Linked DNA regions of Schizosaccharomyces pombe. The protein of the gene in region 1 binds, or shares a complex with, the protein of each later gene. Each region holds a gene or a part of one and is shown on either strand. Other genes may lie near its edges.

Region 1 (6,838 bases):
TCATTGTGATAAAAAACATTGTTTCGAAGAAATACGCGATGGTAGGTGCCTGGAATTGCTAGTTGAGGATTGATGATGGCATTTATATATATCTAACTTTATGAAATAATAGGTACTATAAAGGTAAAGGTATATGGTGATTGGCTTCCTTCTTCTATATTTGGCAGGCTCAGCATTTTCTGCAGCTCTCTCAGACAAGTCTACTTGACGATGATCCTTCTGACGAATTACATGCACTTTGACGCTATTATTGTAGATCAGCTTTCAACATGTGTTCCATTTCTTCTTTTGGCTAGCCAGATGATCCTTTTTTATTGTCATTTTCCTGACAAATATCTTGCTAAACGCGGTGGAATCCTTAAAAAGTTGTATCGTATTCCTTTTGATACGGTTGAAGCAGAGTCTGTTCGACTTGCAGATCGAATTGTTGTTAATAGCAAGTTTACAGCTTCCGTCTTCAAAAAAGCATTTCCAAAAATTCGTAAGCCCCTTCGAATCGTTCATCCTTGCGTTGATATAGAGGCAGCTAGCAAGCCTTTGGAGTTTCAACTCCCTGAAAAAATTCTGTATGTCTTCCTTTAGTGCTTTGAATTTTTACTAACTTTGGAAATATCTTATATCTATGGAATAGAAAGAAACGGAAATCGATTGTCATGAAATGATTTCCCTTTCTACGTTTCCTTTCCATTTGATTATAAGGTATTTACGTTATAGTCAACGAAAGCTTTTAATTTCCGTCAACCGATTTGAAAGGAAGAAGGATATTCGACTTGCAATCGATGCTTTTAGTGCATTGCGCGATCTTTCTGCTAACCGATTTCCTGAATACTTGCTTTTAGTAGCCGGTGGCTACGATATTCGTGTTTCAGAAAATCGTCGATATTTAAAAGAATTGCAGGAATTTTGTGAACAAAAGGATCTTTCTTATACGACTGTAAAAGATAATTGGGATAACATAACTGTTGCTCCTTCTACCAATGTATTGTTTTTATTATCAGTTCCTTCAAAGGTTCGGGATGCTTTAATTTCTTCTTCTAGAATATTGCTCTACACTCCTGAAAATGAACATTTTGGTATTGTCCCTTTGGAAGCCATGCTTCGTAAAGTTCCAGTATTAGCCCAAACGAATGGTGGGCCCTTGGAAACGGTTATAGATGGAAAGAATGGTTGGCTTCGTCCTAGAGACGCGAAAATTTGGGGAAATGTTATATATGAAGCGACTACTAGTACTACATATGATACTGCTGCCATGGGTGAAGCAGGGAGTGAATGGGTGAAGAATGAATTTTCTACAGATGCAATGGCTCGAAAATTCGAATCGGAAATAATGTCTGGAATACGATCAATCACGCCCGAAAAAAGATTAATGAGACGCGTGAATGGACTGTTGGCTGTCTTTGTTCTATTTATGCTATTTTGGGGGACATGCATTATCGCTGCAACTGTTCCCTTCGCCATAATCAAATTGTATTTCGCTCAAACGTATTCAAGCGTAAAACTCGGATTTATGCTAGGAACTTGTATAGTTTCAGTGTCATTTCTAACTTTCACTGTCTATGCAAAGCTAACGAATCTTTAATTCTTTTATTACACGGGTTATAATCCTTTAAATTAGCGTAACTCCTTTACAAAATTAAAAATAACATCTTTTCATTGCTTATCGAACTATACGGAAACACACCAAAAAGGAAGAAAACGTATTTTAATAAAGAAAGAAGGAATGCAAGCGCAATTAGCGAACACAAAATATATTGGGTACATCAGAAAAGAAATGTGACGAGTCCGGAAGGGGAAAGGAAAGAGTTATAATTTGTCTAATTGAAACGTTCTAATAGGCCAGAAAAGGAAACCTCATTTTTTTGTATAGTATTCCTGCAATACAAGTTTAATAGTTTTTAGTAATATCGTATTCTCTTCTTCTGTGCCAACAGTGATACGCAATGCTCCTTCGCAAAGAGGCTCTGTACCTCTAAATCTAACAACGACTTTGTGCATCGTGGCCATTTGTAAATAAAGATATTTTGCGGCATCGTTACTAGGCTTACCTCCTTCTGGTCTATCTAAAACCTGAATGAGGATAAAATTTGCATCATAACCACCTATAATCTTGCCCATTCCTTTAATGGTAGTAAGCTCTTTGCAAAGACGAACTCTTTGCTGTATAATAGCATCTCTATATGTATGCATTTTATCAATCGACTGAGGGGATAAAGCATCCAAAGCTAAACGAGAGGTGGGTTCGCTAATGTTATAAGGAGCCTTTAATGAGTTCATAATGGTAGCAATAGGTTTACTTGTCAAACAAAATCCGATACTAAACATCATAGTTAGTAAAGAAATAATATTAATGCTTAAAAGCTTAGATTAACTTACCGAATTCCTGCTAGACCGAAAGATTTCGAAAGGGTTTGGCAAACAGCAAGGTTTGGATATTCATTGACAAGAGTTAAGGCAGACATATCGGGAGCAGAGAAATCAATATAGGCCTCATCGACGACAACGATTCCATTCCATGTAGGGTGCTCCAAAATCTTCTTAATATCCTCGAGTTTAAGAGCCTTAGCTGTTGGATTACCAGGGGAACAAGCAAAAAAGACTTTGATGGCACTATCTTTAGAAAGTGTTTCGCAAATAGCATCGACGTTCAAATTGAAATCTGGTTCAAGGAGAACCTTAACAACCTCAACATCGTTGATTTTTGCAGAGACCGTATACATTCCGTACGAAGGTGGACACATCAAAATCTTATCTTTTCCAGGAATACAAGAAATGCGAATTAAGGAGTCAATAATTTCATCGCTGCCAACACCCATGCAAATGTTATCTGGTGTTAGTGGCTTGGTAATGGAAAGCTCTTTGTTTCTCAAATCACATAATCTTTGCTTTACTTCGATCTGTCTAGGATCCGGATAACGATTGAATTCCACACCGTCCACGGAAATAACCGAACCATAAGCACATTCATTGGCATCAAGAAGGACACCTCTATTAAGATTAGCAAAAAATATATAGGCGAGAAAAGGGTAAAAAACAACAAAGGCCTGAAATCGCCAGCTCCAACAACAACAGTAAACAGGGAGTACTTCATTGCTTTCCAAGCAGCTAATAAAATATCTTTCTAGAAGTAGCCCTCATATCAATTATTACCCAAATATAAAGATAAAACATACTCAGAGAAGTCACTATATTCTATGTTAATATATATCACGCTTTCTAGTTTATCAAGTTATTACATACTCTCTCGCACAGCGATAAGGCTGAAGTTCTAAGATATTTTTACGAAGACAAGTATTCAAATCAAACATCGTATCTCTTTCGATGTGTTTTTGTTAAAGTAAGAAGAAAGCGATCGATGAGATTAATTAATAATTAACCTAAGATGCAGGTGATATCTATAAATATATAGTGTGTAGCAATGTGAGTCTTTAATTCATTACAACGTGTATCACCGTGTCATTATATCCAATAAATTCAGAAACCTGAAGAGGAAAGAGAAATAAAGCTCCATATGTCTTTCATTTCCAAATACAATTATAAGTGCAATAGTAAAGAAAACGTTGAAAGCTTGATAAAAATTTCGTTACTATACTAATGCTGTAAAGAAAATGCACCATTGTTTACAGTTCGCTGAAATTAAAACACATATTTACTAGACTTTTGCCGTCCGAGAAATAGATATTTGTTACTTAAATTCATAATTCATTACATTTTATGAGGTTGTTTCAATTGCTACATGCTTTTTATCTAGCTATTTTATTTTCACTATACAGGCTGCATAGATGAGGCAGTTCAATCCAGTCTTATTCACAATCTATTTCATTACCTAGGATAACCATTTTGGATTCATAACTTTTTGGCCTACGATTTATGTAAAAGTTAAATAAATTAAATTGTCGCAGCGCTTTTGCTTTATTTTATTCAAAGAAAATGCGAATACTATTGCTCAACCTTTTTTAATTAAATATTGTTTAAATCCTTTAAACAAAACGATCGGAAAATCTAGCCAGTGTTCCAAGATGAAGATGCAAGTTTCTACTCGAGAATGGATCCTTACATTAAGGCTGGTGCTTTCCAACCCTTACTACACATAAGGTACTTATATTCGTAACGCATTCATCCAAACGTGTAGCTCTTTTAGATTCTATTAGTTTCTTTTTTTTAGAAGATAGTTGTGAATGATTTTTTTACGCGTTTTCACTAAGAATTGTTTTGCTGTACAACCTGACTTGAAAGCTTAAAGATCTTGAAGACATGGATAGTATAGGGGATAATGTAACGGAAATGGATGCTTTTGTTCGAGATCTTACTATGAAACCGTATGCAGAACTGGAGAAACGAAAAGCCGAATTGCATGCTCAAAAATTAAAATTGGTGCAAAAACGCCAGCAACTGTTACGAGACAATTACAATGTATTAGTCGATTATGCTAGGAATCAAGATGCCTTTTATCAACTTCTCGAGAACAGTAGACACGATTTTAAAGAGCTTGTTTTACATACAAATCAGCTATATGAACCTGTCAAGAGAAGCCAAAACTTTCTAACTTCAATTTCAGAGCATTACAGAGATGCAAAACTAATGCATCAAGTTCAGCCGCAATTAAGTAGTATACTGGAATTACCAGAGTTGATGAACGCTTGTATCGAAAGGAATTACTTTTCCGAAACGTTGGAATTTCAAGCACTTGCGTATCGATTAAAAGATCGATTTGGTACAAACTCTATCATTCAAGAACTAATTACTCAAGTTGAAACGCTGGTGGTTAAACTTACTGAGAAACTTATTTTACAGCTACAGAAGCCATTAAAGCTTTACTCATTAATCAAAGTAGTGACCTATCTCCGGGTAACTGCAAAACTGTCCGAAGCCCAATTGAAATACGTTTTTCTTTATTTTTCATGGAAACAACTACAAACAAGCCTTCGAAATTTAGTGCCATTGCTTGACTACAATAATCCTGAGTTGTACTTACGGAGATATATACAGGTCATTCGTGATCGCGCATTTTCTCTCCTTTTTCAATATCAAAGTGTATTCGGTGAGTCATCAAATGATCGTTTAAACGCTGCAGGTACAGTAGATATACCTAATTCCACCAGCACTTCAGCGTCACCTTTTGAAATGGATCCCGAAGGCTTCAATAACTTTGGTCAAAATATTCTTTCGTCCTTCGTTCGTAAACTACAACTTGAAATTTGCTATGTCTTACAAAAATTTATGCCCAATGTTAAAGATTCTACTTCCAAATTCTCACTACTCCTTCAGCTTTATTATTGCAATCAAAGCTTAACGAAAGTGGGAACAGACATTTCTATACCACTCTCCAAAATACTTGGTAGCGAATGGTTAGAAATGATCCATTCTCAATCTTCTGAGAAACAGGCGTAGATATATTTTTTCCTAAAAAAAAAAAAACAAATAATTAATTGTTCTTATTACTCATTTTAAGGGTAAGTGCTAAGCCAAAAACTTACTATCCAATAGGTGTAAACAGTAATGATTGATAAGGATGTTTGTTAAACATCTAGTTAAGAGATTAGCATGTGAGAGGGAATTTAACTATATGAAACTTCAAATATAAATTTCGTCAAATTATTACTGCGTGACTTCTCGTAAAACTAATTCGTCCGTAAGGCCAAGATTTTTTATACAATGGACATATCTGTCAAAATTTACTTTCCGTAAATATTTGAGCATCCTTTGACGTTGATGAACATAGTATCGAAGCATCCTTTTTCCAGTTTGATCTTTTTTATGATTCTTGCAATGATCGCTTAACGCTAAAATTCGACTTGTGTAGACAGCAGCTTGTACTTCAGGACTTCCAGTATCTCGCTCATTTCTAGCAAAGGATTCTACAGCAAGCTGTTTATTATTCAACCTTAAGGTCTTAGAATTCGAATTTTCAATATTAAATATACGGTGAATGCTCTCTTTTCTAAGATCGCTTAATTGACTCATCCTTTCTAACCTTTCAGCAAGTGGATGAAGTCGCTCGAATCCATCTTGATTTGATTCCAAAGATGTATCACTAGAAGGAAATTCGTTAACCTCATTAAGCTTTATAAAATCTTTAGTTTCTTCTGTAGCCGAGGCCCTAATCTTTTCAAATTTCTCTACAATAAGATTGATTGTTTCCATTGATGCAGGAAATTTTATACTACGTATAGGAAAATTTGGTTTCTTTCTTTCCACCAATATTTCGTACGGCTTTAATAATCTCGCTATCCATTCACTCGAATGTCCGATGATAGGGTCAGCTAATGTATCCAAATTTTGCTTTCGCAGCTCTTCCCTTCTTTTCAAATTTTGTTTGCGACGTTGGTTGGCTTTTTGTTTTTTTAAACCTTGTAAAATGCATGTTGTATGAAACTGAGACTTTTTGTTTAATAAAAGGCATTGTTGCATCAAGTTTGTAGACGCCAATTTCCAAGGCTGAAAAGCCCCTTCAAAAAGTCTCATCTTAAATTAACTGAGTAATGTAAAATAAAATGAAAAGTCGTGCTACAATTCGCTCCCTGAGTAAGCTATTAAACACATGCCCTTTTTACAAAGTCGTTGGTTCTGGTGTATGCTTGAAGTATGGGTAAGTGAACTGGGTAAAAAATAATATTAATAAATTGAATGTTAAACGTTATGAAGAAGAAATAAAATTTTCAAATAAAAATTTTAATACTAAATTTAATACTTAATGAGGAAATAATAATCATTATATACCAAAAGATGCGAAAAGGCTTTCCTTTAAAGATTGTAGTTCTTCCAAAGCTCTCAAATGCATTTGTTCATATGCATAAAATAACTGTATAGCTTGTGACCCTTCCTTCCAATTATCAATTAA
Region 2 (9,615 bases), 640 kb from region 1:
GTGTCGGTAGCGGTTGGAAGACGGATGAAACTCCGGGACAACACTTTCCGCTTCACTAAAGTTGGCTGGTAAGTATAGGAGACAGGCACTAAAGAGAAAGTCCCGTTCCTTTTATTCAGTACGTTATGGGTAATACTAATAATTGCGAGAGGTTGTACAATTCTCTTTTAGTTTTTAAGAAAACTGGTTCTTGGCCACAAATTCTACAGATTTCGTATTACACTTAAATGCGAATTGCACATGAATGCAAAATGTATTAATTGTATAATTCAAGCAATGATAATTTAGGCGCTTGTTATATGAATGTTATTATATTAACTAAATTTTAAAAAAAAAAAAGGAGTGGATGTCCAATCTTGTTTTGTAAAACAGATATTGCATTTAAGAAAGAATAAACCTTTTAATTTTCAGATAGATGATTTGAAAGCAGCCTATTCCATGGGGAGAAAGAAGCAAGCGATTAACATAGCGCATCATCATTTGTGCATTCACGATTTTTTGGGGAAATAGACGATTAAATTAATGGTATAAAAGTTGTAAACACACATGTTTGGAAAAAGCTTATAAGTCGTATTGGTCAAAAATATGACACACATTTTGTTTTAAAAACAACAAACATCTTTGAGCGTAGACATAGATAATGGTCAATCAACTTGAAGAAGTTTTTAATTAAAAGAACGAGAATAGAAGAGAGGGGATCAAAAATAGGTTAGAGGAGTAATATTACGAGAAACAGAAAACTAAAAGACGACTTATTGCAACATTTCGCAAGCCAACTGACGGAGAAAAGATTATTTCGTAACCGATAACTTTAAACTTTTGAAAAAAGAGAGAGGTTGAATCAAGAAACAAAGTCTATGCGGTCGCTTCAGAAGAACCAAACGGTCGCGTTTGGAATACAGACATGTTTATTTTTTCTAAAACACTTTCGAAGCCTTCTTTTCCACGGGAAGCTTTCTTTCCAAAACCATCAACCGACCATTGTTCGATCAGGTTTGACAACCGCTTCATACACGCTAAGGCTTCAATTCGAGCCTCCTGTTGAAAAACAGTAGCTTCCAGTTCAGGATGGGGTGAGTAAGTCACCGTCTCATCTACTCTCAAACGATCACTAAACGTCAAGTTTGAGGTTAAAAGTGTTAAAGTGCGCGCTTTCAAGTCAACATAGCTAGTTTCTCGAATATAACAATCTTGCGCACCGTCAATCAATTTTAAAATCCATCTAGGAAGGGCCTGGTGACACGTGATCAAGCGTTCCGTATACAATACACCATTATCCAAAACCTTGCGATCAAGAGTATCCACGGCTATCACATGAGTAGCATGCTCATTGGGATACTTCTGCCAGTGAGCCGCTGAAACTTGTTCAAAAGGATATTGAAATAAGTGGCAACTTTCAAAAATCTTCATTTAGGATACCTAAATTTTATGAAATTTTACGTGAACTAAGTAAAAAAAAAAGAATGAATGACCCTTTTAAATCAAAAAAGTTAGCTAACTTCTTTTAGCTATTAACTTTTGTCTCTCAAGAACTAAGAAAACCAAAAGTTTCTTTCTGGGCCGCTCGTAAGATTTTTCTTTAATTTTTTTCTGAGGTAAGATCTACTAACTGATGCACCTTTACTTTTCGAGTTTGTTTTAAATTGAAATCAGCCCGTAAGTAAAATATGCTTTTTTTGGGATCTTTAACTAATGTACAATTTCTTAGTGTATGGTTTTTTTTATGTACAGAGCAGTGGAGCGGAACTATTTTTATATGCGGTTTTCTGGTTGGCGGGACAAAGGAGCTCCAATAATTAACCATTTTTACTTAAACTATAGCCATAAGCGAATCAATGCATTTGGTGGAGGTGGGGTACGACAGAGGATATGCATCGCACTTTTTATAAGGTTGTAGTTTACGATGCACTATATATAATAACGCACCAAAGCGGAATAAGGCCTATATTATACTAATGGGTTTTTAAAAGTGTCATTTAATTATGTTTATGGATAAAAGATATATAGAAATTTATATAAAATATGTACTTTATGTATTAACAACACTATCTCTTATGAAGGAGTTGGATTTGGTTTCTAGCTGAAATAATTCTTATTTGTTTTAGTTTTTTTTTTTTTTAATACGGTGATAATGCACAAGACTCATTGTTTTATTATGCTTGAGAAAATTATAGCATTTGCTACATCAAACACTAACTAGCCCGTAGAAGCGTATACGTAAAAGATAACAGAACTCTAGAATTTCAATCAAACCCAACTGGGCCTTAGATCGTCAAAATGCCGGGAGGAGATCTATCGTTGAGCAGTGCTATGAGAAACTATCAAAAATTTCGCAATCAAAAAGAAAGGGGGGAAATAAAAGATCAAAACATGCTGTGTCACGAGAATTCAAAATAGTATGCCTTTTAGCTTTCATGTTTTCTCTTTTCGTTTGCTTCGGTATGTAACGCAAAGAAGAATAAAGGAGCATGCTCAGCATTTTATAACTCAAGTAGGAAGAAAATATCAATTTTTTATTTCTTTAATGTACACTTACACGACTACAAAAATTGAGTCATGTACGTTATTTATAATAAACCTTGGGCCTTTAAATCGTTGTAAACCTTTTCAGACATCACATTACCTTCGTCATCTTCCATTTCATTGAGAGACGCCATTGTGGTTTCCCGCTTCTTTGAGTCCACCTTGTACTTTTGCCAAACTAAAAATTTTCGTTAGTAACATAAACTCACCAAATACAATCATTTTTTTCTTACGTTGCAAAGCTTCATCAATAGAAGTAATCTGATTGAATAAAGGTGAAGGTGATATTCCTAAACATTTTAACCCGTATATGTGCCTTTGTTCAGTAAAGTGTTTATCAAATGCCTTTCTACCCATATACACGTAATTTCCACAAATTTCACAGGGAAACTCTTTACCAAGGCCATGGAGTTTCCAAAGCCAGAATGGAATAGGTTTACCATCCCATCCCAATGGCAGCTTCAAAGGGTTATATATCTTTTCCTCATCATCCTGATCACTTTCCTCATCCTGATTTCCCTCAACACTTACGCTTGGAGTCGATTGTTCAAAGGCTTCTCTTTCCGCAGCCTCTACTTCTGCCAAACGTTCTGCAGCCGTCAAAGTTTGTCGACGAACAACATTTTCACGAGTATCCTTTCGAACATCGTCAAGCAAAGACGTTAACTTTTTTATTAAAAACTCGATACGGGCAATCGCTTTAGGTCCTTTTTGCTTCTCGTTCGTATTACTTGTGGTAGATGGACTAGAAGACTGCATCCTCTTAACGGCCTTATTATGTGCTTTGCTCTTTTTGTGAGCTTCAAATACAGTGATCTTCCCAAAAAACTTTTGACAAACTTCACAATAAAATGCTTCCGTCGAGTCTTTCCCATCTTTTTCGGCTTCAGCGTTGTGTGAATACCAACCAGGAAGTCCAGCTTCCCATGCTGCGTCGAATTCAGTATCAAAAACCGCAATAATCTTATCCAAGTTTGACAGAGGGTGTGTCCGGCGATAAAAGGACACCAAGTATTCGTATAAATGAGTTATATAGTTGATATATGTTTGATTTTTTTCAGGCTTGGGGATTTGATCAAAATCCTCCAAATTTTTCAAATATTCTAAGTAAGAAATATGCTGTACATTGCTTAAGTTTATATATTCTTCGTAACATTCGTTAAGATCCATAAATCGACCATACATCTCTTCACCTCGAAATAACGTGTCAATCTCGTCAATCCCGGGTTGAGAAGGCTTTATGGAATATAATTGACTCAGATCCTCAACTTTATGATCAGGATATTTTTTGTGAAACTCTTGGATCTCTCCCAGCGATTTATAAAACTCTGTTAAATCATCGTCTGCATTGATACGCGCAACTTCTTGATCCTTTAATCTAGCGAATTCAAGTTAGCGGTCAATACTACAATTTTCTTGATTTTACTTACCGATCAGAGGATTCATGGGAAACTAACAACTTTTTGCTAGTTTCGCGAAATTGGTTAAGAAATTGTGCACTCTGATGCTCAAGCCGAAGCCGTTCACGAGGAGCCTTAGGGTTGGCAACTTGTCTATCAACAATAGCTTGTTGCAGCCTTTCTAGCTCTTCGTGCGCGTACCTTTCAGTCTCGAGCACGCTTTCTGACATTTGTAAAGTTTTAACTTAATTTACTGGTGTTTAGAAGAATTTATGCTGCAATTGCTTCGCTAGAGTAATACGTTGAGTTGCACTAAATCAACATGCATGTAGTGTCTAACAACATAATCATTTACTATATATCCATCGTTGTTTGCATATTAGTCCATCATCGTGCTGTTCTACTAATCGAAATTCATCTTCCATGATTTACTAGAGATGGTAGTAGATTTGTACTTCAAAGTTCTACATTAACGATCGTGCATTTTCCTTATTTACCATGACTGAAAAAGACGCAGATAGTGGTTCTGACTTGGTTGACGCGTTTTTATCGGATGCTTATTTAAACACAGAAGAACTTCGTAAAGATGGACCGTTTTCACCCGATGAATTTCTTGTTTCCAAAAGATTTTTAGGTCTTGATGGTTTAGTAAATGAATTAAGTCGACTGTTTGAGCAGGTCAATAATGAATTAATGCTACTAGTAAAAGATAACTACCAAGATTTTGTTCACCTTGGAAGCAGAATGAAGAGCGGAAATACTAAAGTTAGTACCCTGATTTCTTCAATACATCGTTCAGAAGAGCAATTAAAGGTAATACAAATAACTACAAACACTATATTTTTAGTTTCAGTCTACTAACAGTTCGCTTAAAGAATTCGAAGCAATCCTTAATCGGGCATTCAACTGAAATTCAAAATAATTTGAAGCACAAACAAGACGTTGAAAACGAAAAGGTAAAATAACGCAAGTCCCAAATAAGTTGGTCATTATGCTAATACATCTAGCTAATTGCTTCTAATTTGCTTTTACTTGACCAAATATTAAAATTCCTCAAAAGTAATGATTCATCACATCCACTTTGGCTTGAAAGTCTTAACAATGCTCAACGTTTATGTGATACATATAAAGATCATCCATGGGTACAATCTATTTCACCTACTCTAATTAACTACATTAAGCATTAGTGTTTAACAGTTTCTGCTTAACTATTTTGTTCCAGGATTTACGTATCTAAGCTTTTGTATAAATATTGAAGATATACTAAATGTAAATCTATATGTAAATGAAAAAATTTCCCCATTTATCCAAAACCAATCCTAACCCTATATTAAAATACTCAATTTTTCAAAAGGTTTAACGTTTGGAACAACCGGTGCTTGTGGTTGTTCTCCAAGAGCAGTCTCAAAGGTGCTAACAGGAACAGAAAGAATGGGAATAACTTTCTCACCAATAGTACCTATAACATTTGCAAAATTACGTTGAAGTTCTGAAGCCTGGGTGGTCATATTACAGCGTACTAGTGCTTCGAGCAAACGATGCACCTCAGGTCGAATTTCTTCAACACGAGCGATCAACCTCCGTAAGGAATTGACAAGGTACTCTTCTTCGAATACTGTTCCCTTTTTTCCTCTCGCGCGTTTTCTCTCTAAACGTCGGTTGTTCTTTGACGTGTTTCTTGTCATTTTAGACGAGTTGCTACTCTTGGTGTATTGCGTATATAAAGACCTGTTTGTTGAGAGACTTGTAGATGCTAGTGAGATGTCATCAGGCGTTTGGTCCTCCATAGTCCCCTCCATCCAACTAATAGGATCTTCTTTTTTCTTCTCTCTAAGCACTAATATTCTTTCGGTTTGTGACTTGATTTGGTTTCTAAAGTCGGCAACCAATTCACTAGCTTCACCAAATGACTCCCCAAGAACGGAAATTAGTAAGTCCTTATATATAGATGAATCACCGGTGGCGCGAGCAATCCGAATCGCTTCAGAATATTGTGAACCTTTGCACATTTGAATGACTGCCTCTCTTGGATTCGAAAGGTATAGTAAGTTGATGCTACCTGCATCACAATGTTCCCGTTTCTCAATACACAAGCTAGCCAAATCTTCAGCAGTTTCCCGGATTAAATCTTCTGAATTTGTAGTCTGCTGTAAAATGGACAAGCATTCCCTCCACATTCCGGCGCTTTTATACGCCTCGATGGCTTCACTGATCTTTCCAACAGATTCATAAGCAATTGCAGCTTCGTTTGATTTACCATTTTCTCGAAGGTATTGTGCAAATATAATTAAAACCTCCTTTTGAGCTTCCTTGTCATACTTGTATAACTCTAATGCTCGAGGGTACAGCTTATGTTGAATAGTAAAGTTTTTGAATTCATCAAACGCATTTTCCATTTCCTTTAGATGTCCTAGTGCTCGCTCATACCGCTTCAGATAACAATCTATATTAAACTTCCTGCGAAGTGATTCCTGTTTTTGAAATTCATGTAAAAATGGGACATATTCACGAGGATCTTTTTGAGACTGCTGGGCAATTAAAAGGGCTAATTTTAGATCATACAGCCCTAATGCATGATCAAATAACATATTGACGTCGACCAAGAAGCACATGTGCTCGATTGCCAGATCTACGGTTTCAGACTGAGCCTTAATTAGTCCAGATATCATGCCTAAAGCTGCTTCAATTTTTGGAGGGCTTTCGCAAAGATAGGAAGTAATTATTGCTTGAAAATGTGTATCACCGTATTTTGAAGTCAGATGTTCGCGAATAATCTTGCACAATAAATTAACTTTATTGTCAATGGTAGTGACAGATTGCTGAGACTGTGACTTGGATGTATCACTGTACATCCCTGTAGTAACGTTTTCAGGCTTTAAAGAAGTGAGAAACAAGTCTAAATAATCGACACGGTACAGCCCATCTACAAAAACAGGAATATTTTTCAAAAATAAATCTGGGTCATAATCAAATAGTATATTTAAATCAAGACGATGAGTGCGGCAAACCTTGAAAGCATCACCGTATTTTAAAGCTTTAATATACGTACGTACTCCGTCAAGAACCATAATTCTAGGGTAAATGGTTTCTAAATTTCCTCTAGGCATTTGTAAAACCACTGCCATTTTCGAAGGCATACTGGCAACAATTTTCGACCCTCTTTCAACCACGCGGCATCGCTCATCGTGTCGATCCACAGCATCGTCTTCTACAACTTGCAGATCATCAACGGTAGAAACCAAGTGTACAAATTTAAGTAGATTTTTAGTTGTTGTAAATAATACAAATCTTTCGGTGCAGAAAAACGATAAGACGCCTGTGCTCAATAGTCTTTGCTCAGCATACAACCTGCCATACGAAGTGAGACCTATAGGAACAAAGGTTTCATGGACAGGAACTACAACAAAATCAGAACAGGGTTTGGGAAACGACAAAGAAATGGATTCAATTGATTTTACATTCAAATTGTAACTTATAAGTTTTCCACTTGAAGTTTGAAAAAATAGCATTTCCGAACAGTAGGAGGCATTAAGTATGCAACTTTCGAAACTTTCGGAAGCCAAAAGTTTCAAGGACTCATTGTCTTCGTCACATTGAAAAACAAAAAACTTTGAACAGTTATTTGTGCCATCTGCCAACAACAGAACCTGATTTCCTGATAAACCAAGAAGACTTTTAAAATTCAGACCTTCAGCATACGTCGAGATATCGAATTCTCCAAATTTAGCAATATCTTCTTGTGAGTTAAAAGTAAACGCCGTCAAGCGCCTATCATCAGCAGCAAAAAGCATGTCAGATGTTGCGTTTATCGAAGTCATTTGTACATTATAGTCTAAAGACAATTTATAACGACACATAGGAGGGGGAATATTACACAAAGACAACGGTGTGACCAACAGCGAAGAGCCATCGATGACAGGTATGAGGCCAAAATCGTTTGGAGAAGTAGAAAATTCTGTTACATATTTGAGGTCAAAAACCACTTTTTCTATGTGATTTTTTCCAGTTATGTAAAGCGTATTGGCATGCTCTGGATGCCAACTAATTAATGCATTTTGAGGAATGTTGATTTCTTTCTTTAAATACCAATGATAATTACCGGTTGTCCAAAGCATCACTGAATTTTCGGTCGAAACGGCCAGAATTGATGATGAAACATTCCAAGCCAATCCAGTATACTTTTCGTCTTCCCTTCGACGTAACGAAAATTCTCCATGACGGAGTCCATTGCGTTCAAAAAAGATGACTTTAGAGGAATTATCGGAACTATCTGACTTAATTGTTGCTAAAACGGATCCAGATGGTTTCCATGAAAGCAAACTTTGTTGCCCATCTTGTGGCTCACTAATACTATCCAACAAACCTTCACGAGAATAAACACGAATAGCACGACGTGGTCCCTTTTCCAGACGGTTTATAGAAACATACTGACTATCACCACGCCAGCAAATATAAGTTTTGCCATCGTCAACATCAGAAAGTTTACCCTCATCTATTTTCTCAGGAAGCGTAGGATCTCGTAATTTAGCACGAACTCGTTTTCCTCGAAACTGGGTTTCAGAACGACCCCAACCAACAGAAATATGCTTATTAAATTCATTCAAATCCGCATCAGATAGAGAAGTTTCTGAAATGATATCAAAATTTTTAGTCATAAACAAAATAGTATCTCCACCCGTTATGATACAAAAAACCTGTTCATCAGTTGACCAACATGAAGCAACAATGCCATTCTCAACATTGCCAATTATTTCCCAAGGCGCTTCCTCAGGCGATGGGTCTACTTTTACCATCACAATGTCACCTCCTTTCAATGATAAACATATAGCCATGGGTTCTCCAAGAAACTGCATGCTTTGAATCTCATCAATGTCCCCATTATCTGAAACGAAAGAGGGAGAATCAAATTCAACTAATTTTGAGACATCGTCATTTTCAGATATTTCATATATCTCGATCCCAGGATTCTCATTATCCAAACCACAAACCACGTAAATTTTATCACTTATACTGTTAAAAGCCAAGGCTTTAATTGAGCCATTTACATTTGGAAAAACATGATGCAGGTGTGTTACCAAATTTTTCATGGTGTGTGTGCTATTGCTGGTGAAGCATCATGAACGCCAGTAATCCTCAATTTTGCGTTGCGAGCGCGAAGGCAATATGGTTTGCCCTCACCACCAAAGGAGTCCTAAATCTATATTTCTACTAAACTTTAAGCATTAGATAAACATCCTAATTGTCTTGAAAATTTAGGACCAAATAGATGTTTCAAATAAGTATAGTGTTTTTGATCGATATACTTGATTCTTAAAAACGAGATAAATTTGTAACGCGCTTTCACGCGTAATTTGCAAATTTTATATTCAAGAATTGTGGTTATTTGTCATTTTAAATAATATTTTCTCATAGAAGACCTGTGCTAGTTCTCAGTCTTATACCAAGCTGGTTCTTATACATGTACAATTAAAAATACTAAAATGGTCAACGATTTTAATGAAAAAAATGGCATTAAGAAAAGACTTCTAGATTTCTTCCCAGTCGTTCTCGAAGGAATTCGTGAAATCTTAGAAAGCATGCAATACTTCCCCGAAGAAACCGAGAAGCTGTTATATGTAAGTTGATTATCTTGCCTTTATAACGCGACAGCTAACCTTCATTTAGTCCATAAAGAGAAATACGTTAGGAGGAA
Region 3 (7,486 bases), on another chromosome or scaffold:
ATGGTCGGTTATCATCATCTGGGGGATTCATCCAATCTAATACATGACAGCTTACTGAACCCGCATATTGCTGGATAAGTTCAGAATTGTAATCAACGTTATACTGCATATTTTCTACTATATCTGGTAGATCTGTACATACAACTTGCCATCCTAATTGAATGGCTGCACTAATGCCAACAAGCCCAGTCCCAGCCCCTAATTCTAGCGCGTTAATGGAATTACTCAAATCTTCCCATTTGGGAAGATTTGCTGAAAGCAAGGGAGCAGACCCCCATGTTTTAAATCCTAAAGTATTATAGGTCATAGTGGGCTCTCGAAGAACTACAGAAACACCATTTGAAAGGGAAAATTCCCTCTTCCTAGTAGGAGCTGCAAGTCTACCACTACGCTCTGCAATTCGTTCACAAATCGTGCTAACCAAATAGTCTCGTTCCTCTTCAACTGTGATCCATTCCAAATTTGTAGCTAAGAGCTTGATAAGCCAATTGAGGATTATTTTCTCCTCATACTTAGGAAGGTCCCACAAGTGCTCCCCAGTAGGAATTTTGTCCAAAACATCTTTAATTTGAGAGTAAGAAGGCTGTTCGTGACTTAAAGGTAGATCCGTGTCTTCTAAAATCATTGTGATTTTTTTAAAATACCCAAAACCAGAGACGAAAAAGCAAAAACAAAAGAAATCCCAAAGACCCAAAAAAGACAGGAGTCAACCTGTTTTCCTTTGCAAACCAGCTAAATTTTAAACAAATGAGAATCCCAATTAACTACCTATGTGAGAGTATGCGTGAGAGACATACTATGATTAAGTATGGATAAAACGAAATTTCTCTCTTTACCATCCATGAGTCCAACTTTTCAAATTAGATCAAAGCTAGGTAACATGTACCTCGCAGGAGTGAAATCACGGTGTTGATCAAAAAGCAAGAAGCAATTTAAAAGCACTGGTTATTAAAGCATCTAATTTCTCAATTTCATTCTCACTCAACCGCCTATCCCAAAAATACAACTCAATTCCAATGGATGTATGTCTTTTCCAGACCGCGTTGTCTACACTGCGTGAAAAAAAGGAATAATGAGGAATATTGTGTCCCTATATGCAAATGCAATAGCCTTCTCAATGTACAATACGAAAATGTAATATATATTTTGTTATTTATTTTACCAAAGTTCTTTTGACTTTCGTTAAAAAGTATACTGAAAGAGAAAGAGCTAATAAATTGGCTAAGCAAGCAATGTGCACAACCGTTCTATTTAGATAAGCTGACCTACGTAATGCACATGGCGAATGCTATATAAACCAGCCTTTTCCCCTTTGCGCTCAATTCCTTCTTATCTGTACTACATAAGCTTGTTCATTTTTTGACAATTAAGTGAATTTTAAGTACAGCTAAAAAATCTGAAACGCTACTTTCCTTGTTTTTTTCGCCTTCGTTATTTCGCCATGAGTCAAAAGTCGTATATCGTTCAATTGAAAGATTCTGTTGATCCTGCATCGATGGATAAAATAAAATCTGATTTAGAGGCATCTGGTGCTAAAATTGGTCATACTTATGATACCGTATTTAAGGGATTCAGCGTTTCTCTTCCTGAGAATGCAGTAGATGCTTTGTCTGCTCATCCTGAAATTCAACATTTTGAGCCTGACCAAGAGATGCATACTATGAAGAAGGATTAGATTTCTCTCCTTACAGAAAGTTTCGCCTCCATATCAATTGCTTATAGTTGAGCTCGTCACTCGTCGCACGCATGCGTTTCTACACTCAAGTACTTTATGACATTTCATATACATCGTTATGATCAAACAAATACCAATTGTTAATTTGATGATTTTTTTTAGAATTAATTAGTAGGTCGGTCGCGTTTTACCATTTCTTTGTGTCGACCAATTCGACCGTAAAATAGTACACACATTTTTGTAATGTCTTAGTAATATTCGCTTCCCAGTAGTAACTTCCATAAAGATCTAGTTGTTTGGACGAGGAGAGGAATATTGGTACAGCAGTGGGAAATCGAGTAAAGGATTCAAGGTGAAAATAAATAAATAAAGAAAAAGAGAAGCAATTCTTAGAAGGGGGTATACATGAGTATGTTTTAGGTAGAACTGAGATGTTTAACATAGACTACCTTCTTTGTGAGTTGTTGTTTGGCCATCACATTGGTGACAAATATGCTGAAATTTCGAAAAACATGGATTTGTATTTAACAACGAGGCGTAGCAGAAAACCGTAAATTTTTAAAATACAGCTTTTGGAAATTGCTCTTCCATGACTTTTTATTACAGTTGTACTATAAGAATGAATGATTGCACAACAAAATATACTCTCCTATATTTCCTGCCTCACATCAAACATTTAAAGAACAACAGCGAACTCTCGCTATTAGAGTCTGCGATGTTGCGTTCTGTCAAATAATGATATTTATCGTCTCGTTAATTATTAGTTACTGGAATAGTATGATATCGTAAAGTTGACCATTTGCAATGCACTCAGTAACTCTTTTTTTAGTAGGAGTCAATTGTGCGGCATTTGGCAAGTTGAATGGGAGACGTTGCAAGGTTTACTAATTTATTTAAAAATTAATTAATTCGAAAATCAACTGACGACAACCCTTACTTTGGTTTCTTTCACTCTTACTTTGAGTTTTTTAATTGTTATTTTGCGCGGTTAATATTCACAACCTCGTAGATTTTTTGAGATAATTTGCGAACGCGTTTTAGTCTTTCTTTATTTAATGAGTGTACAATGGACATATCCATCAATGACTGCACTGATATCTCGCAAATTAAACAACGGTTTCATGACTTACAAGTCGAATCCCAACGAACCGACGAAAAGCTGGAAAGGCTGCTAAGCGATGCACAGCCGACTGAGAAGTTCAATTCTTTAATCAAGAATATGGCAGAACGTCTAGTGCTGTTTGTAGGTCAGATTGAAGAGCTTAAAGATGCTTTTTGCAATACCACTATCGTTAGCGAGGAGGTCATTGAGAGAATCAAATCGGTCGATAGAGAACAGAATCGTATAAAAGAGTGTCTTTTATTTGTTCGTCAAGTCCGAGATTTCAAAGAATGTTTGCAGGATCTCAACAGAGCTATGCATCACCAACAATGGGAAAAAGCAGCTGATTTAGTACATCGAGCAAGCTCCACATCGCCGGCTATCATCGAAGGGAAATTTGCACATGCCGTTGTTCCCACAGCTGAGCAACCTTTAGCGCCCATGGACACCTTAAAAGAAATCACCGAATCTCTACACACTCTCTTTTGGCGGGAATTCCATAAGGCCGCCCGAAATCAGGATCAAAAAGAAATCACTCGTTACTTCAAACTCTTCCCTTTGATCGGCAAAGAAAAGGAAGGATTAGAAGCTTATTGGCATTTTTTTGGTGGAATTATTGCTTCTAAAGCTAGGGCCACTCTCGATGAGCCCCCTACTCATGCTCTTTTTTTTGCACAGGCATTTACCGGACTGGTCGAGCATGTTGCTTCTATCATACGCGCACATACGCCTCTTGTTCAAAAATATTACAAGGCCAAAAACACCATCACCGTTATTGAAAAATTGCAAGGTGATTGTGATCGCCAAGGTTCCATTATCGTGAATACCATGTTTGACGTGAGAAGAATTGATAACCTCGTAAGCTCTATAGCTTCTTACAAATACATTTTGTTACATGCGAAGTTGAAAAATCGTGCCTTTGTTTCGGATCAAAAGGAATTAGAAAGGGTCTCTCTTCAAACGCTACATCCGATTTTGAATGAAATGTCAGCCATTGTCTCCAAATGGAATATCTCAAAAATATTTATTAGCCGTCTTGTCCTTCGATTGTCCCAATCTGATGGTACTTCGAATGATCCATCTGTCCAGGACAATCTTATTTGTGCATCTATTTTCAATTCTTCAAAGATGGAACTTCTGTTAAAAAAGCAACTTCTTCCATCCTTATTACAATTAGAAACATACTATTTCAGGAGAAGTATAGAAACGTCTTTGGAACTTGAGGAATATTACACAAAGGTTTCCCCATGGATGAGCTCTATTGTAGACGATGTCATGTACGTTACGAAGCAAGTATTCCAACGTGCGTTTTTTACAGTCTCCTCTTTATTCTTCACCAGATTTGTTAACGAAAGCTTAATCCCTATTTTAAGAAATGATTACTATGTCTACCTTTCCCATAATCTTTTAACTGTCTGTAACATTATAAAAGCTCAGTTCCAGAGGCTAAAGAATGCAAATAGCATTCCCGCCAAACAAGTCGAAAACTACATAACATTGGTAAATAGTGCTTCACTCAGCAAGCAATATCTAAAATCAATTGTGGATGGTGTTTCTAGTCGGTTGGAAGAAGTTTTTGCCTTTGCCAAAGACCAAAAATTGGTAAAGAAATCGATTGATAATTTTTTGCAGCTAACCGTTAATTTTGAAAATCTTTGCAAGACTTCTTTCAACATGTACTTTCCGATATTTTTATTACCCCGAATTGAGCAATGCATCGATGATTCCTTTGATGGAATCAACTATGTCTTGTCCTATGAAGACTATACGAAGGAGACAGAACATGAAAGACTGGTAGTTACCCGTCTTCGCAGCGTTTGGGACAGGGTTTTGTTGCTGGAGCAATTTACTCCTGAAAATCAGCTTTCTTTACGCTCTATGGCATGCGAGAAAGCTGCAAGTTATATAGAAAACCTCATACTATATAAGATTCAGTGGAATGATTATGGTGCTATGGCATTAGAAAACGACATTTCTAGCTTAATTACTATCTTTTCCAATGATCAAGCTAATCTCCGACATAGCTTTGAGCGTTTGCAAGAAATTCTAATCTTATTAGTATGGGAAAGTGATTCTACAGCCCCAGAGCAATTGATCAACGATTTAAACCTACAGCTACTATCCATAGATATTGTTAGCGCTATTATGGAAAAGAAAGCGAATGTTCAAGGTGAAGATTAACGACCTTTTTTATTCAGGATATTTGAAGAAGCACCAAAAGTTCTTTAGTTGTAATCTCCTGTCATATCCTAAATTTATCCTAAAAAACGGCGGATCATCGTCTCCACGTTTAGCATGATGCCGATATCTATTTTTTTTTCACTCTATTTTTGTTTTTATTTCTTTATTCGTATATTGAAAATTTTGACAACCGGCTACCCTGACGCAGTGCAACTCGATCATCATTTATCTTAGTTTATTATTTCTTCCACACTTTGATAAGTTTTCCGCTAAAAGTTGAAGCAACCCCTTTGTTAAAAAAATAATACAGGAATGGAGTTAATATTCATGACCAATTGTATATAGCATCAAATATCGACTCTTTTAATCTTTATTAGTTCTAATTTTTCTCGTGATCGGCCTTCTTAAATAAGTATTGTGATTATAATATACCGAGGCGCAAAGGAGTGTGATACAGTTTATATCGTTTAATTATGCAGTTTGCAATCAGTTTAATGAAGGTTAAAATTGCGATGAGTATTAGTTGTGACCTAGAATTCCAGTATACAGGTACAATAAGTAACATACACTGTCAATCTTCAGTTACATAGTATTATATTTTTCACCAATATAGCTAATAACTGAAATTGAGGATGCTTGTACAGTTATGCTTATATTGATAATTTTTTTAGCTGCTCAAATTTTAATAGTTTATTAAAAATAGTATGCCTTTACCATACAATATATAGCGAAAGATAAACAGACCATATGGCATGTATCGATATTTAACGCAGTATAGTATTAATAATATAACGCATTACAATTATGCCATAATATCGCTCTTTGAACATTAAGATACTTTACCTGTTGGTGTATTTTCTCGTGGTTTTTCTTTAACTTTTTCCCTTCCCTTACTACAATCATTTATCATGTCTTCATACATCTTGTTTGGTTTGGAAAACCCTCTGTTGGATTACTATGTTGGTGGTGAAACTGCAACTCTTGAAAAGTATGGCTTGAAGAGCAACGACGCCGTCTTAGCTTCTGAGAGCCAGATGGGTATCTACAAGGAGCCATGCGTTAGCTACAGTGCCGGTGGTGCAGCTCAAAACAGCTGCCGTGCTGCTCAATACGTACTTCCTCCTAACTCTACTGTTTTCGCCGGCTGCGTTGGTCAAGATAAGTTTGCTGATATGCTTCTTGAATCGAACGAAAAAGCTGGATTACGATCTGAGTTTTCTGTTGATCCCACTACACCTACTGGTGTTTGTGCTGTCGTCTTGAGCAACAACAATAAAAATCGCTCCCTTTGTACCAACTTGGGAGCTGCTAACAACTACAAGCTCAAGGACTTGCAACAGCCGAATGTATGGAAGTTCGTTGAGGAAGCAAAGGTTATTTACGTCGGTGGTTTTCACTTGACCGTCAGTCCCGAATCCATGTTATGTTTAGCTCAACATGCTAATGAGAATAACAAGCCCTATATCATGAATCTTAGCGCTCCTTTCCTCTCTCAATTTTTCAAGGAGCAAATGGATTCCGTTATCCCATATTGTGATTATGTTATTGGCAACGAAGCTGAAATCCTTAGCTACGGGGAGAATCATGGAATCAAAAGTACCGACGTCCAGGAGATTGCGCTGGCCTTGTCTTCTGTTGAGAAGGTTAACAAGAAACGCACCCGTGTTGTTGTCATTACTCAAGGAGCCGATGCCACGATCGTTGCTAAAGACGGTAAAGTAACCACTTACAAGCCCAACCGCGTCCCATCTGAGGAAATCGTCGATACCAATGGTGCCGGAGATGCCTTTGCTGGTGGATTTATTGCTGCTCTTTCTCAAGGCCAAGGAATCGATTATGCTGTTACTCTCGGTCATTGGCTTGGACAAGAATGCATCAAGGTTAGCGGCACTACTCTTCCTCTTCCCAAAAAGCAGTTCCCTTTACCTTAGACTATTGCATTTTAGTGATTTTTTAAACTGTCAACGTAGATAACGCACTTCGTTTTAATTAGATGTTTAACTTTAAAAATTGTGCACACTATGATTGCAATTAGTTAGAAAAGCAGGCTTTATTCTTTGACATTGATATTTTGTTATCTTATTGATATGTCATGGGTTCTGTCGTATCATTGTTATAAGCTAATAGAACAAGTCTATTTTTGCTAAGCTGATATAAATAACTGGATATTATATTGCAAGGAAATAACCCATTTTGACTTCTTGAGGGATTTGTATATGCCATTTATTCCAATGTTAAGAAATTTGCTAAATAAAGCATTGCTGAGGGGAGCTAAGCTAACGCTGATTTTATTACCGAGAATATTTCTTTGTTGAATAGAAATATAAAGAATTTAAATTCATTTCAATCGATGGAATTTAGGATTTCAAATAAAAATTGGACGAATTACTTTTATAATAGTGTACTGTTGAGTAAATTTTTACGTGTCTTTATGTTATTGAAAGTAGTTTAGCGTTATTTTGAATGCTCTTATAAAAATATCGTTAATTAGTTCAACGCAATCCCATAAGCACCAGTATGCGGAGGTA

The links.
Region 2: cog8 (region 1) and cog2 share a complex: the UniProt entries of both Schizosaccharomyces pombe proteins name them as parts of the conserved oligomeric Golgi complex.
Region 3: cog8 (region 1) and cog4 share a complex: the UniProt entries of both Schizosaccharomyces pombe proteins name them as parts of the conserved oligomeric Golgi complex.

Annotation. Positions count from the first base shown.
Region 1 is NC_003423.3:1,486,360-1,493,197, forward strand, and holds cog8 (COG complex subunit Cog8), read left to right. Parts: upstream 1-4,080; 5' UTR 4,081-4,251; coding exon 4,252-5,388; 3' UTR 5,389-5,595; downstream 5,596-6,838. Other genes in the region: mannosyltransferase complex subunit Alg2, read left to right, coding at 1-41, 113-566, 715-1,579; bifunctional histidinol-phosphate aminotransferase/imidazole acetol phosphate transaminase His3, read right to left, coding at 1,852-2,314, 2,374-2,985, 3,171-3,182, 3,238-3,305; mrps28 (mitochondrial 37S ribosomal protein uS15m), read right to left, coding at 5,596-6,462; random septum position protein, DNAJ domain protein Rsp1, read right to left, coding at 6,710-6,838. UniProt on the Schizosaccharomyces pombe protein: Required for normal Golgi function.
Region 2 is NC_003423.3:853,026-862,640, reverse strand, and holds cog2 (COG complex subunit Cog2), read left to right. Parts: upstream 1-4,312; 5' UTR 4,313-4,421; coding exon 4,422-4,736; intron 4,737-4,798; coding exon 4,799-4,879; intron 4,880-4,930; coding exon 4,931-5,110; 3' UTR 5,111-5,248; coding exon of another isoform or gene 5,249-9,010; 3' UTR 9,011-9,115; downstream 9,116-9,615. Other genes in the region: phosphatidic acid transfer protein Ups2, read right to left, coding at 856-1,410; U2 snRNP-associated protein sap61, read right to left, coding at 2,568-2,701, 2,757-3,901, 3,954-4,153; elp1 (elongator subunit Iki3), read right to left, coding at 5,249-9,010; spo9 (ER farnesyl pyrophosphate synthetase Erg20), read left to right, coding at 9,404-9,538, 9,588-9,615. UniProt on the Schizosaccharomyces pombe protein: Required for normal Golgi morphology and function.
Region 3 is NC_003421.2:1,349,465-1,356,950, reverse strand, and holds cog4 (COG complex subunit Cog4), read left to right. Parts: upstream 1-2,505; 5' UTR 2,506-2,741; coding exon 2,742-4,958; 3' UTR 4,959-5,477; downstream 5,478-7,486. Other genes in the region: efm2 (methyltransferase Rrg1), read right to left, coding at 1-625; proteinase B inhibitor Pbi2, read left to right, coding at 1,442-1,675; ado1 (adenosine kinase), read left to right, coding at 5,867-6,889. UniProt on the Schizosaccharomyces pombe protein: Component of the peripheral membrane COG complex that is involved in intra-Golgi protein trafficking. COG is located at the cis-Golgi, and regulates tethering of retrograde intra-Golgi vesicles and possibly a number of other membrane trafficking events.